Macaca fascicularis: one gene and its partners. The main gene of each other region encodes a partner of the protein of the gene in region 2 in a complex. Links are inferred from orthologs where the notes say so. Each region holds a gene or a part of one and is shown on either strand. Other genes may lie near its edges.

What was found.
Region 1: the proteins of PLXNA2 (region 2) and SEMA6A are in contact, whole or in part, in a crystal structure (PDB 3AL8), measured with the Mus musculus proteins. The link is inferred for Macaca fascicularis from reciprocal best matches to the Homo sapiens genes PLXNA2 and SEMA6A. Residues at the interface, in NP_032908.2 of Mus musculus: Ala93, Cys94, Tyr95, Pro96, Lys155, Gln192, Asp193, Tyr194, Asp220, Phe221, Val222, Pro229, Ser230, Asp231, Leu386, Lys389, Val391, Thr394, Lys395, Ala396, Pro397, Val398, Leu407, Asp408, Ile409, Asn410, Gln411; in NP_061214.2 of Mus musculus: Arg108, Met109, Lys110, Gly111, Met162, Ala163, Thr188, Phe190, Leu191, Ile193, Tyr198, Thr206, Arg208, His212, Asp213, Ser214, Glu219, Gln266, Arg267, Glu270, Lys271, Lys393.
Region 3: the proteins of PLXNA2 (region 2) and NRP1 are in contact, whole or in part, in a crystal structure (PDB 4GZA), measured with the Mus musculus proteins. The link is inferred for Macaca fascicularis from reciprocal best matches to the Homo sapiens genes PLXNA2 and NRP1. Residues at the interface, in NP_032908.2 of Mus musculus: Asp273, Leu274, Phe275, Glu306, Lys341, Gly342, Gln343, Lys344, Gln345, His348, Pro350; in NP_032763.2 of Mus musculus: Glu78, Arg80, Asp81, Lys83, Tyr84, Asp126, Tyr127, Glu128, Thr129.

The regions. Positions count from the first base shown.
Region 1 is NC_088380.1:123,158,632-123,162,278, forward strand, and holds part of SEMA6A (semaphorin-6A), read right to left. Parts: intron 2,729-3,647; coding exon 2,552-2,728; intron 2,179-2,551; coding exon 2,038-2,178; intron 1,951-2,037; coding exon 1,870-1,950; intron 1-1,869. UniProt on the Homo sapiens protein: Cell surface receptor for PLXNA2 that plays an important role in cell-cell signaling. Required for normal granule cell migration in the developing cerebellum.
Region 2 is NC_088375.1:66,055,604-66,060,034, forward strand, and holds the start of PLXNA2 (plexin-A2), read right to left. Parts: upstream 2,932-4,431; 5' UTR 2,252-2,931; intron 1-2,251. UniProt on the Homo sapiens protein: Coreceptor for SEMA3A and SEMA6A. Necessary for signaling by SEMA6A and class 3 semaphorins and subsequent remodeling of the cytoskeleton. Plays a role in axon guidance, invasive growth and cell migration.
Region 3 is NC_088383.1:34,082,361-34,086,007, forward strand, and holds part of NRP1 (neuropilin-1), read right to left. Parts: intron 2,175-3,647; coding exon 2,000-2,174; intron 1-1,999. UniProt on the Homo sapiens protein: Cell-surface receptor involved in the development of the cardiovascular system, in angiogenesis, in the formation of certain neuronal circuits and in organogenesis outside the nervous system. Mediates the chemorepulsant activity of semaphorins.

The DNA of each region.
Region 1 (3,647 bases), on a different chromosome or scaffold from region 2:
GAAAAGTCTTTTTCTCTCTACTCTTTCACTCCTACCCTTGCCTTCCTAGGCAAGGTTTTTTTGCCTAGACATTTATCTACCCAAAAGTGTTCAAAGGTCCAAGTGGCTAGAGAGGGGACAGGAGCCGGTGGTGCATTTTGTGGAGACCACTTGGCTATTTGTTTACCCCCAGCCCTGCCCCAGTCCTTGGGAGTATTACTGTCATTCTCTTTGACAGGCTCATGTTTCTTCCAAGTCTACTAGGTCACCACTGGGCTGTACAAGCGACATGACATTAAGAAAACCAATTTTAATAAAAGCTATTTTGATTTTTAAAATAAGCACACCAGAGTCACCTTCCTTTAGGGGCACTTTGTACATATTCCCATAATATAATTGAAACTCTTATTTTGCAACTGCTTTCAGAGCTTATTTACGAGCCATATAGGAAAACTATTTTGAAAGTCACAGCTTGATCTAATAATCCACCATGTTTTGTTTCTAATCTTTTTTGCCACATTAAAAATCAAATCCCTCAAAAGATGAAGATTTCTAGTGGTAATGACAGCCAATATTCATGATGCCCTGGAGCCCACTCTCCAAAGGGCGTGCCCCATGTTTTGAGCAATACCAGCATCATTGAAATATGAATGCAAACCTTAAGGAAACCATTTTGGAGTTCTTATATTGACTTAAAAATAATTTTTAAAATATCAGTCTTATAGCCTTTGGTCACATGTTGAACACAGAAAGGACAAAGGTCATTTCATAGCTCCCCTCACCATGCTTGGTGAACCTTTGTCCTCCACCTTGAGGGGTCCAATGAAAAGGTACAAACCTCTAATATTACAGCATGTCAATAATGCTACTTGCAAAGCTGTTCTAATAATATACAGTGACTCAGACTTTTGCATTAGTCAAATTTCCAGGTCAGATTTTATAGTTATCATCAGCTCTGTTTATGAGAATACTTGTCCTCAAATTATGCAGGTGGTGGTCATAAGATACGCCCTTGCTCTGTTTGTTTAGCTATTCTGAAATAGGAAAGGAGGCACAGAGTGATGTAAAGATGGTTCTGTTCCCCCTTTGGATCTGGGGAGGTTGCAGAAATGGCTGTGTTGAAGGAAGATGTGTGCTGTCTAACCTCCTAAATTGCTTGCCACAACCCATCAAAGATAAACATTGAATACTTTTGCAAATGTATTTTGGATTTCACATCCACTGAAGTAAAAGCATAAAAAGAAACCTCTTAGCCAATGCCATCTAAGCATTTAAAGCCAGGGTAACAATTTTAAACACCCAAATCACAGGCATGGTGGACTGGCCTCATCTAGCTGATCTGTTGGAGAACTGCCAAGAATTGATTGACTGCCTAAAGAGTAACAGGGTCAACCGCTCTTCAGCGCAGGAAAAGGTTTATTGGATGTATACACCATGCTTGCAGTACAATTGCATTGCTTAACAAATGTTCTGCAATTTCTTCTCAGCCCTGCACAGTCAATTACAAGAGCCAGTTTTGCTATGACTGAACAAAGCACTCACTAATCTAATTGGTATCCTATTGCTCCTTTTCTCTGCTTTTCTCCCACCATGATGATCAAGGCAGGCACCTTCTTGTCTCTCTCTCTAGGGAATACATTGAAGCCCACTGTGTTTCCATTCTGTGTTTTTAATCAGTTCGAGGATGATTAATCAATTGGAAATCTGCCACATGTGATGTGGTAAGGCTCCATGAAATGGGAAAGGGAAGGAGAAAGGCTGACAGTCCCGTTGCTGGTGTTTGTGCACAGAAAGCTGTGTGGTGGAGTATGAGAGCAGAGCAAATCTTACATCTAGAATACACCTTGGCTGGAAGCCACTGTACCCTCTCCCACTCCTCAGGCTCCTTACCTGCTATTGGGTGATAAATGGGTACAGGCACCACCTTCCTTTATCCACCCACAATACGGGTCTCTGGAGGCAATACAGGTTCTGCAGGAAGAGGATGACCATGAGCTACGTAGGACTGTTTCCTAGCCACCACGGACTTTCTAATTGTCAGTGAGGCAAAATACATACTTTTTACACTTCCCATGTCGTTCACACCGGCCAAGGGGAACCTTTATCACACAGGTAGAGAATGCAACATACAGAGAGCTGCTTGCTCTGTCCAGCTGCATGCCCATGATCCTTTTGTCTTCGACTCCATCATAGCTGCATCTAATTTCATCAGGCAAGATAATATCATTAATAGACTCTTCTCTTTTTCTCAGCACCACCCTCACATCCCACTTCCCAGCCCACAAGGCAATCTCTTAATCTGATCTAATTGGCAGTGAAACAAACAAATCCTTATGCTCATGCACACATGTAGACACACACATATGTATGTATCTATATAAACACACACACACACACACACACTGGCAAGGAGAAAATAATGCTTTTTAGATGTTAAAAAATTTTTACAAACGGCATTAAAAAGTCATCTAAAAATGCATAAAACCTAAGTCGGCCATGATTTTCTCTGAATGAAAGGGACCATAACAGCGTAACAAATAATAACTAAGGAAGAACCAAATATTCTACTTACTTTTCAGGGTTGTAAACGCTCATCTCCTCCAGGAAAAGGCTGTCATTTAGAAAACCACTGTTTCCTATCCTGGCCAAAAACTTCAAGATGATTCCCTTCTCTGATCCCAGAAAAACCACAGTGTGATTCTGATACGGCCCAGCAGCCGTGTCCACTGCAATTTTGGTCAGGCGGTATCTAAAATGACAGGACCACATTTTTTATCTCTTTGTTGGTCTATCATTAAAGTGTTCCCTGTTCCACTTCAAACAGCTGTGCCATAGCTTTCTAGTAATAACCTCAAGAAAAATGTATGCATATAAATAATGTTCTCAAGTGGTTCTGGCCCTTTATTTCCATTTGCAGAGCATTAGTATGGCTCCAAAGGGGAGGAAGGAGGTGTGAATGTGTGTGTGTGTGTGTGTATGTGTGTGTGTTTCTGGGCCAAGTCCCATAATAGATAGCCAAAACCACCTGAAACCACTTAGCAATAATCCCTTCCATGAACGACAAGGAAAGACTAATGTCTCCTATGATGAAGGTAAGAAGTAATAAATTCATTTAACCTTTAATTTAACATTGAAAAGCAATGACTACCATTTCTCCATACTCTTCCTCTGAGGTACAAAGCCTTCATCGACAAAATGTTTGATTGGAAAGCTTTCCAGTTGTATGTCGAGGGGCTGGGAGACTTCTCAAGGATGAGGAGGTAGGGTGCTAATGGCACTGCTAAAAACTGCAGGGACCTGCAAGCCAAACAATATCCATTTAAAGCTAAAGGTGAAGGGCATACCTAGGATAAGTCCTACCAGCAATTTGCTTTCTCTGAAATCTCTTGAACATTCGACATTCTATGGGGACCCAGTTGTCCTAAGCACCATAGCTGGAACCAGAAAACAGACCCTCCTGCAAGTTATATACCGTGGTTTCCATTTTATGTGCCAGAGCTATTACAGTGCTTTAATATATTTTAATAAAGTCAGAGTATAAAAATAGTGGTAAAGTTAATTAACATTTTGTTTGATGACTACCACAGTGGGATGGTACTTGGGAAAGCCTGTTGAACTGTTTGGAAATAAGCTCTGAATAAATACTAGGAAGAGTTTTTTTTTAATGC
Region 2 (4,431 bases):
TTTTGGGTGATGGACGTAAGACACTGCCATACTCTTCATTTAGACTTGGGCTGAAAAGCTAGCCAGCCCCCCGTCCTGCTCCAGGCTTCAAGGGACCCCTGTCCTTATGCCCTGTCAAAAAGAAGAACCAGCTGGGATTTCCTTGGCAGACTCATGGTCCCTGGGTAGAGGAGATCTCCTGGTACTTTACCACTGCTGCTCTTCAGCATCTTCCCTGCACATCGCTCCAAATGTCATTTCCATTTAACTGCTTTGCAAGCCAATTTGCCCCCATCCTAATGCAATTTGCTGAGGACAGTGAGGGAGCAGAGAGGGCAGTCTGCATTGCCCTCCCTTTATCAGCGGGTCCCTGAAGAGGATCAGCTGCAGAGTGGAGGGAAATAACTCCTTTAGGTAATGCTGGCTGGTGGCAGCAGGGGCAAGTTCCGGGATGAGGAGGGGTTGGTGGTGATGCTGGATGGAAGAAGGGGAATGAAAAACAACCTCGCTAGGGTATTTTCACAGATTCCACTCTGTTTCCTTGGTTCCCTACCCTTTCTCCTCACTGCCCCTTCAGCCCCCAGGACACCACCGAGGAGAGATCCCAGGTAATTAGTTCAAATGGTTCTCTGTGAAGAGAGAGGGAAGTTAATGAATTCTTCTCTTTTCTTGCCTGGAGGTCAGAGGGGAGAGGGCTGCAAGAAACTCTGGGAGCTTTCTGGGGTCATTGCATAAAAGTTGTGCATTTCAGTTAGGAATAGCTGAATTCCTCCAGCCAAGGTTATCTCTTCCTGGGGCTCTGTCACTCAGTAGAAGGCCCCAGAATCTAAAGTCAACCCAGAGGGAACAGTGAGGTTTCAATGTCTAGGAAAGAAGCCCAGCAAAGGAGGGAGACTGCTATTGTGTGGGGAGAGGGGAGAGCTAAACCTGACTCGTGCTCTCAAAGTGTCCAGCCCAGGCCAGCCAAGATATTCATCTTGGCCTGCCGCTCATAAGCCTTGTCCACTGGGCACGTGAATGGAAGGAAATGAATGTGACCCCAAATTTCTGTGGGTTCCTCCAAGCCAATGGGCCCCCAAGTGACTGCCTCAAGCTGTGATTGGCAGTCCCAATCCCCTCAAACTGATCCTGCCTTCATGTCCCTTGCGTACCTTCTATGATGTGCCACTGTCACTCTAACATCTTAGATTCCTACAGGAATCCTGTTCATATTTCCATTGCCCACCTCCTGGGGCTCTCATTTCTAGACCCTTGCTGACCTAGAACCTCAAATCTCTTATCCAACTTCCTCTCCCCCATTATTTCTATCCCTCCTGAGCAGAGCTGAGTTTGAGTAGGTAGGTCCCACTAGGGCAAGGGTCATTCCAAACAGGTGGACACTTTTTCGGGGACCTAGAATGGTAGTTTCTGGTGACTCTCTGGGCATCTAGACCATGATTGGTATTATAGAGACTACCTGTGGGATGGATAAAAAGGGCTAGAATTTTCCAGGATCCCTACCTAACTTGTGGGGTGGGGCAAGAAAGAGCACATGGAAGGAAATATTCTCAAATGGTTCATAAGGAGCCTCTGGGACCCTAAGCAAACTCCCATTTCAACCCCCAGCACTCGCGTGGTCCTCAAACTATGGGGCTGGACCCCTGCTGGGCGATACACTGCAAAGGGAGTCCTGGGAGATGAAACACTCAGACCCATTCAGTGCCTGGGAATCTCTCCCTGAGCATTATGGAACCCGCGCAAATGATGTTTTCCCCTTCTCCTGATCTCCAGTCCCGGATCTGAAGGGACAGCCGGCGGCCACCAGGGACTCTGGCACTGGAGTGAACGCCCCCAAATCGATCGCTGGCCACTGTGGCTTTGGGTTGTCTCGCTGGTGCCACCGAGGCCCTCTTTGGGCTCCAGCTCTCGGGACAGCCTTGCCGCCCCGAGCTCCCCAAAGCCGCAGAGCGCCGGCAGGTGCGCGGTGGAGGCGCGCCGCGGAGCGCTGCTGCCGCCCTCAGCCCGCGGCCGGGAAGCCTGCTGGCTGCCGGCCGGGAAGCCCTGGGCGGGAGGCACCGGCTCCAGTGAGCCTGAGATCGCGCGCACGCCGCGCTCCGGCCCGCGAAAGTGGCCGAGCCCACACGGGGACTCGCCCGCCGCGGCCAAGCCCGGTTGCCTGGGGCCGGGACCCCAAAGAGGCGGGTGCGGGAGAAGCAGCCACGGGTGTGCGCGCCTGTGGGGAGAAGGCTGAAGGCGCTGCCGACTCCGAGCGTCCGGCCCAGCCGCCGCTTACCCAGCTCGGCGACGTCGGTCTGTCCTTCCGTCCCTGCTCCGTCTGCCTCGGCCGCCGGCTGCTGAGGGCGGCGCGAGGCCCCTCTCCCTGCCCGCAGCTCCGAATCAGGGAGAAGACCAAATCCACATGGAGTCCAAATTCATTAAAATCCACGTCAAGCCACCAGCCACTTATCTGTATTCCTGAAGTCGCCCCGCGGTCTCCGCTCCGCGCGCCCCTCAGTCCTCGGTCGCCCCGCAGCAGCCCGGCTGGGCGCTGTCGCCGGCTCGCGGGGGGCACCTGGAGGCGCCGAGGGGGCGTGTGGGGGTGGCCGGCGGTGTCTCTCGTGGGGAAGAAGCAGAGCCCCGGCTTTCTTCAGATTTTTCCAGCGCGACTTTCCGGGCTCCTCTGACATCAGCAATCCCGGCGCTTCCTTCCCTTCTTGCTCTCCGGTTCGTTCACAGTCCCATTTCCTCCGGGAGCCTGGCTTTCCAGATCTATTTCGAGGTTTGCTCCGCCGGCTGCGGCCCTCGCGCTGCCTACCGTTCCCAAGCTCGCGGGGTCTCTCTCCGGATCGCTCGCCCTCTCGGCTGAAAAATTCTCAGCAACTGCGCTCCGCTGCCCTCCCGCTCCAGTCTGGCGCGGATGCCTCTCAGCCCGGCAGCTCTGGCTCCCGCGGTGGCGGCGGCGGCGGCGGCGGCGGAGCCCTGAGCGCCGGCCTCCCTATTTTACCATGCAGCTCATTATCATAGAGGCCGCGCGCGTTAACCCCCTCCCCGCCGGCCGCGGCCGCCCGAGCTGGGGCCGCGCCCGCTGCTGGCACCGCCCGCCACAGCCAGCCCCGTGCCCCCTCCCCCGCCCGCGCGGACTTCCTCCTCCGCAAGCTGTCAACAAAGGAGAAGCAGGTTTGGCATCCGGAGGCCGCTCCGCTGCCTGTCCTGCGCCCAGCTCAGCCCGGACCCATTGGCCACCTTAAGTAGCCAAGGGGGCAAGGAAAATGCTACCAGGGCCCGGGAATTCGAGTAGGGCCTTGCGAACCCAGCTGGTTTAGCCCCCGGTGGAGATAGAAGGTCGAGCGTTGGGGTTAGCGGGGAGCTCAGGACACAGGAAGAGTGGGTGAGGGCAGTAGGGACAGGGACTCCCCCGCCATTCGCATCACCTGTCACCGCGCACATCCTGCACACCTCCCTCTTGATCTTTGAGTGAGGGGTGAGCGGGGAGGAACGGGGCTTGTCTGATGGGGTTGAGACTAGAGTCTTGGAATTTGTGGGAGCAAATTTCCTCTTCTTGTAAATTAAAAAAAAAAAAAAAAAGCCAGCAAGCTGTCAAATAAGGCTTGAAGTTGTTATTATTATTGCAACGAGAAGATGAACCTTGCTCTGAATTGAATCTCAAGCTTCCAGCCCTGATAGGGATCCTGGGCATCTGAGAAGTCCCGACTTGGATGAGGGCATTGGGAACCGGAGAAGAGCTTTCTATATCCAATTCAGAGAATCTTTTTGCCAGGGGAATCAGAGGGGTGGCGATAAGATAACTTATTTTAATAACCTAAGGTGAGAGGTTTCAGGATTCTGGACGACAATGCCTCGGTGCCCTCAAGGCCACTGATGCCTTGCTACACAGTCTCAGTAACTCTGCAGCTTCTAAACACTGCTTTTCGGAACGGGCCTGCAAGCTGGACCCCAGCGAGTTCGCAGGGTCTGCGTAGTCCCTGCTCGCGATTAGAGCTCACACGAGTTTACTCCTGTCCAAGTACGCTGTTAAGCTTCCTCTACTGCCCTCTCGTGGCCACAGTCCTCAGTGGTATAAATCGAAAAAACAACATAAATCACTACAGAAAACCTAAAAGCAATTGCACGAAATTCTTAGAGCAGTAGGGGCAGAAGAAAGGAAGGGAGGGAGGGATGAAGAAAGGGAGCCAGAAAAAAGAGAGAGAGAGAAAGAGAGGAAGAAGAAAAGGAAATCTAGACTAACCAGTCATCTCGAACAATCGTTCATTCAATACAGGACTGGGGGATCCAGGCTTTCCTCCAGTATCTGCAGAAATCAGCTAATTCTTCAAAAGTCCTTCATTGTAATTAGCTGAAATTTGCGATCCTGTAACTTTCACTGGTTCCTGCTAGTTTTGTCCTGTGGAGCCACAAAGAATCTGTCTAAGCTGTGTTGCCTGATCCATACTTGTTCTTTCCTTCAAACTTCTT
Region 3 (3,647 bases), on a different chromosome or scaffold from region 2:
TCTTCTCCAAAGAGCCAGCTGTTAAACATTTACCACCACACCAGTGCCAATAACTAGTGATTATTCTGAATTCTTTAAGTATTATGTTACATGTATTGATGGTCATGATTTCCAGATTAGAAATTAGTAAACGTCAGTTTATTGCATTCTAACAGCACTTTATTTTTTTGGAATAATGTTATTACTTGAGTAAGTTTTACCAGAAGTTCTCCTATAGCAGTTTAAACATGGTCAAAAAGCAAATACTACTACTACTACTACTACTACTACTAATAATAATGAAGTATATGAAATATAATAGAAAACAAGTATCCAGATTGTGTAGGTGATTGACACTGTAAAAACCACCATAAAGAATATTAGCAAAATAAATAAATAAATACAATGAACTCTTTGTTTCCAAGCAGTCACTGTAACACTATTAATGGCAACTTCCATACGCAATTAAAAAGTCAATATAATGCCCTGGAGCACTTCTGAATCACAAAGCAAAGATTAAATTGGAATTGGTGTAATTTTATTGCACTGTAGTATACATTGATTATTTGGAAACTGATCATCAGCCTATGGATTTATACTAATTCTCTAGGCACCAAAATGTTGAATGAACCAGATGCCCTCATCTGTCTGACCATGAAAAGCTAGTTTACTACACCAACTCAACAGGTTGTTGAGCGCTTTCTACAGGTAGGAAGATTTTGATATTACTCTGTTCTTTCCCAAAAGAAACGTGTGTTCAAATAGACTGTCTTTAACAATGAATATACTTGCAAAATAATATTTAGGTCCAGTGGTAGCAGTAGTCTATAGATACCATACACAGTTACACCAAACTGACCCACTTTAAAACTTGCAAAAACCTCTCAGTCCCTGAGAAACACTTTAGAATTGAGATTTAAATTGATTAGTTTTCTTTGATAAAACTATTTATATAGGTACAAACTTAATAAAAGATGGATATTCAGGTTCAAGTCTCTGGAAACTACACCACTTTCAGTGTGTCAGAATGGGATAACGTGTAAAAGACAAAGACAGGGGGTCTGTTGGGTGTCAAGAGAGACTAGCAAATATGTATCCGAGTGGACTGCTACGTGCAAGGTAAAAACATAATTTCAATACTGTGGAAAGCAATATCCACATACCAGTTCTTTCACATAAAGTGAGGAAATATAATTTCGACTGTCTCGTAGTGAGAATGTCTTCATAATAACAAAATCTGGCATAAGTTAATGTTTAGAAACTTAACAATAGAAAGACATAGCAAGACTAAGCAGATGGATGAAACACTGATGTGTATTTGAGTTCCCATTGTATTCATCGTGTCTTACCAATTATTTTCTAGCATTTTCCATAAAAGTATTTTAATCAGTAATCTACCATTTACAAAACCCCTCATCTGGCTTATCATGTAGGACTTATTATTATTCAATGACAATTTGCTGTTTCCATGTCAAACTTAGTAAGAATAATTGTCATTATTCAATGACAATTTGCTTTTCCCATGTCAAACTTAGTAAGATGCAGTTCTTAATCATAAGATGTGCCTCAGTTCAATATATCTCAAATAGTGAGATCTCCAATCCCACTATCTGTGGATGTGATGTATATTAGAGATCCACTGCATTTCATAAAAATGCAAGTGAGATTTTTGAGTTTCTAGTTCTTCCCCTCTCCAGGGAAAAAAAAAAAAAAAAAAAAAGAAAGCAAAAAGAAACATACATAGTGTATACATTTCTTCACAAAAGAGTTCCCAAACCAAAAGTGCTAACAGGAAGGAGTATGAGAGATTACACATGTAACTATAATCTTCCTGGTTTGGGGAACTCAGAAATCACTTAACGTAATTCAATTTCTATACCATTGACATATAATCTGGCTGAGATTGGAATCCCTCCTGGATCCATTTATAATCTACGTTGTACACGCTGACTTCCCCCCGTAGACAGGCGTGACCACTAGATGGTGCTGTGGTGCCCTATTCAAACACATCCCCACTTACTTGCAATCTCTGTCCTCCAAATCGAAGTGAGGGTTGAAGTTGATCATAATTCTCTGGTATGGGTCCGGAGCCTGAATCAGCCATTCACATTTTTCACTTGGGTGATAAGAATGAGGATAACCAGGAGATGTAAGGTATCCGGGGCTTTCAATTTTTATAGTATCGCCACATTTATCTGCAATAAAAGTAAGATTTTAGTAGATCTTTCCTGACAACCTCTTAGGTAATCTAGCTTTATATATAAATTACCGGTTATTAAACATTCCCTAACTTTTTAAGGGGAACTTTAAAAGGTCCCCGTAAGTCCTTCGTGTGGCCCTGACTGCAACACTCCACAAAAAAAACACTCTTTGATCTCAGGAAGGTTGACTCAGGCAGAAAGCCAACTGAGATCTGAGAGGACTCTTCGCCCAGCCCCGAAGTTTCTTCCTAAGGAAAAGGTCTTCTAGCATTAAAAACATTAAATCCCCTCAATTGATGTTAACATGGTCCCCTGGGAGCTTCTGCTAGACTTAATTATCCCCCAAGAAGTGTAATCACATTAAGTAGCAAGTTCTAAGTGGAAAGTGACTGAAAGATGCTGTTCGACCCCTTGTGTTGTTTTTTGATGATAAGCCTGGTCTATGTCATTGATCAGTGGGGATTGTCTTTGATTGGCTTAAAGCCAAACCTTTTGTTGTTGTTGTTTTATCTGCCCATAAATCTAAGTGATTTTGAGTTCTCTCTGCTCTTGAGATCCAAATCAACAGAGAACAAAGTATATTTGGTGAAGCAGAAATAATTCTGCTTTACTTCTCCAAGTAAGGTTGTTCATTCTTAAAAATCAGATCAAAGCAAAGGGGCAGAAAAAAAAAAAAGGTAAATAGCCACATGGCATTAATTCTAATTACCTAAATGTTGGGTGAAAAATAACCCACCACACAGGTGTGGGTATCATGTATGGTAACCCACATTCTCACATTCTGGGAAAGGTGAGCTAACTCGTTTTGAGCCTTCACTTCAAAAATGCTCAAGTGAAGCCAAATAAACCAAATAAACTAGTCTCTGGACTGCCTTATTGTTCAGCATAGATTCTCATTGTCACATTTTATGATGGATTTCATACTGGAGCACCTCAGCCTGAAATGCTGCCACATTTACTGATGCTTAATTTTGAGCAATAAAAATTCGGTGCATAAACTATACAAGAGAAACAGGTATGAAAGCAGTGAAATATATAAGCCTATCAATCACAAATTTTCAGTAATGGTATATATAGATTTTAACACTGCATCTAATAGATTCTCTGTGGAAAGAGAATGGCATTCTTTGCTCTCAGCATGAATTTATAAATCTACAGAATTTTATTACAGGAAAACCAGGTCAAATGGAAATGAAAGATGAAGTGCACATCAAAAATGCGTAAAGCTACATGCATCACAGAAATCATTTCCCATAAATTAAAAAAGAAGACAATATAAGTTATATTGTTTTTCTCAATCACTAGGTGCTTGACTTTGTTCCTTAGACTGGGGGTAGTCTTATTCTGGTTTCCTTTGCATTGGCTTGTAAAAGTGTAAGGTTTGCCAGGAAGAAATGATGTTGTAACTGGAGTTCAAAATCTCAGCTAATGATCATGTTGGACTCTGTTCTGTGATTCTACTGAGAC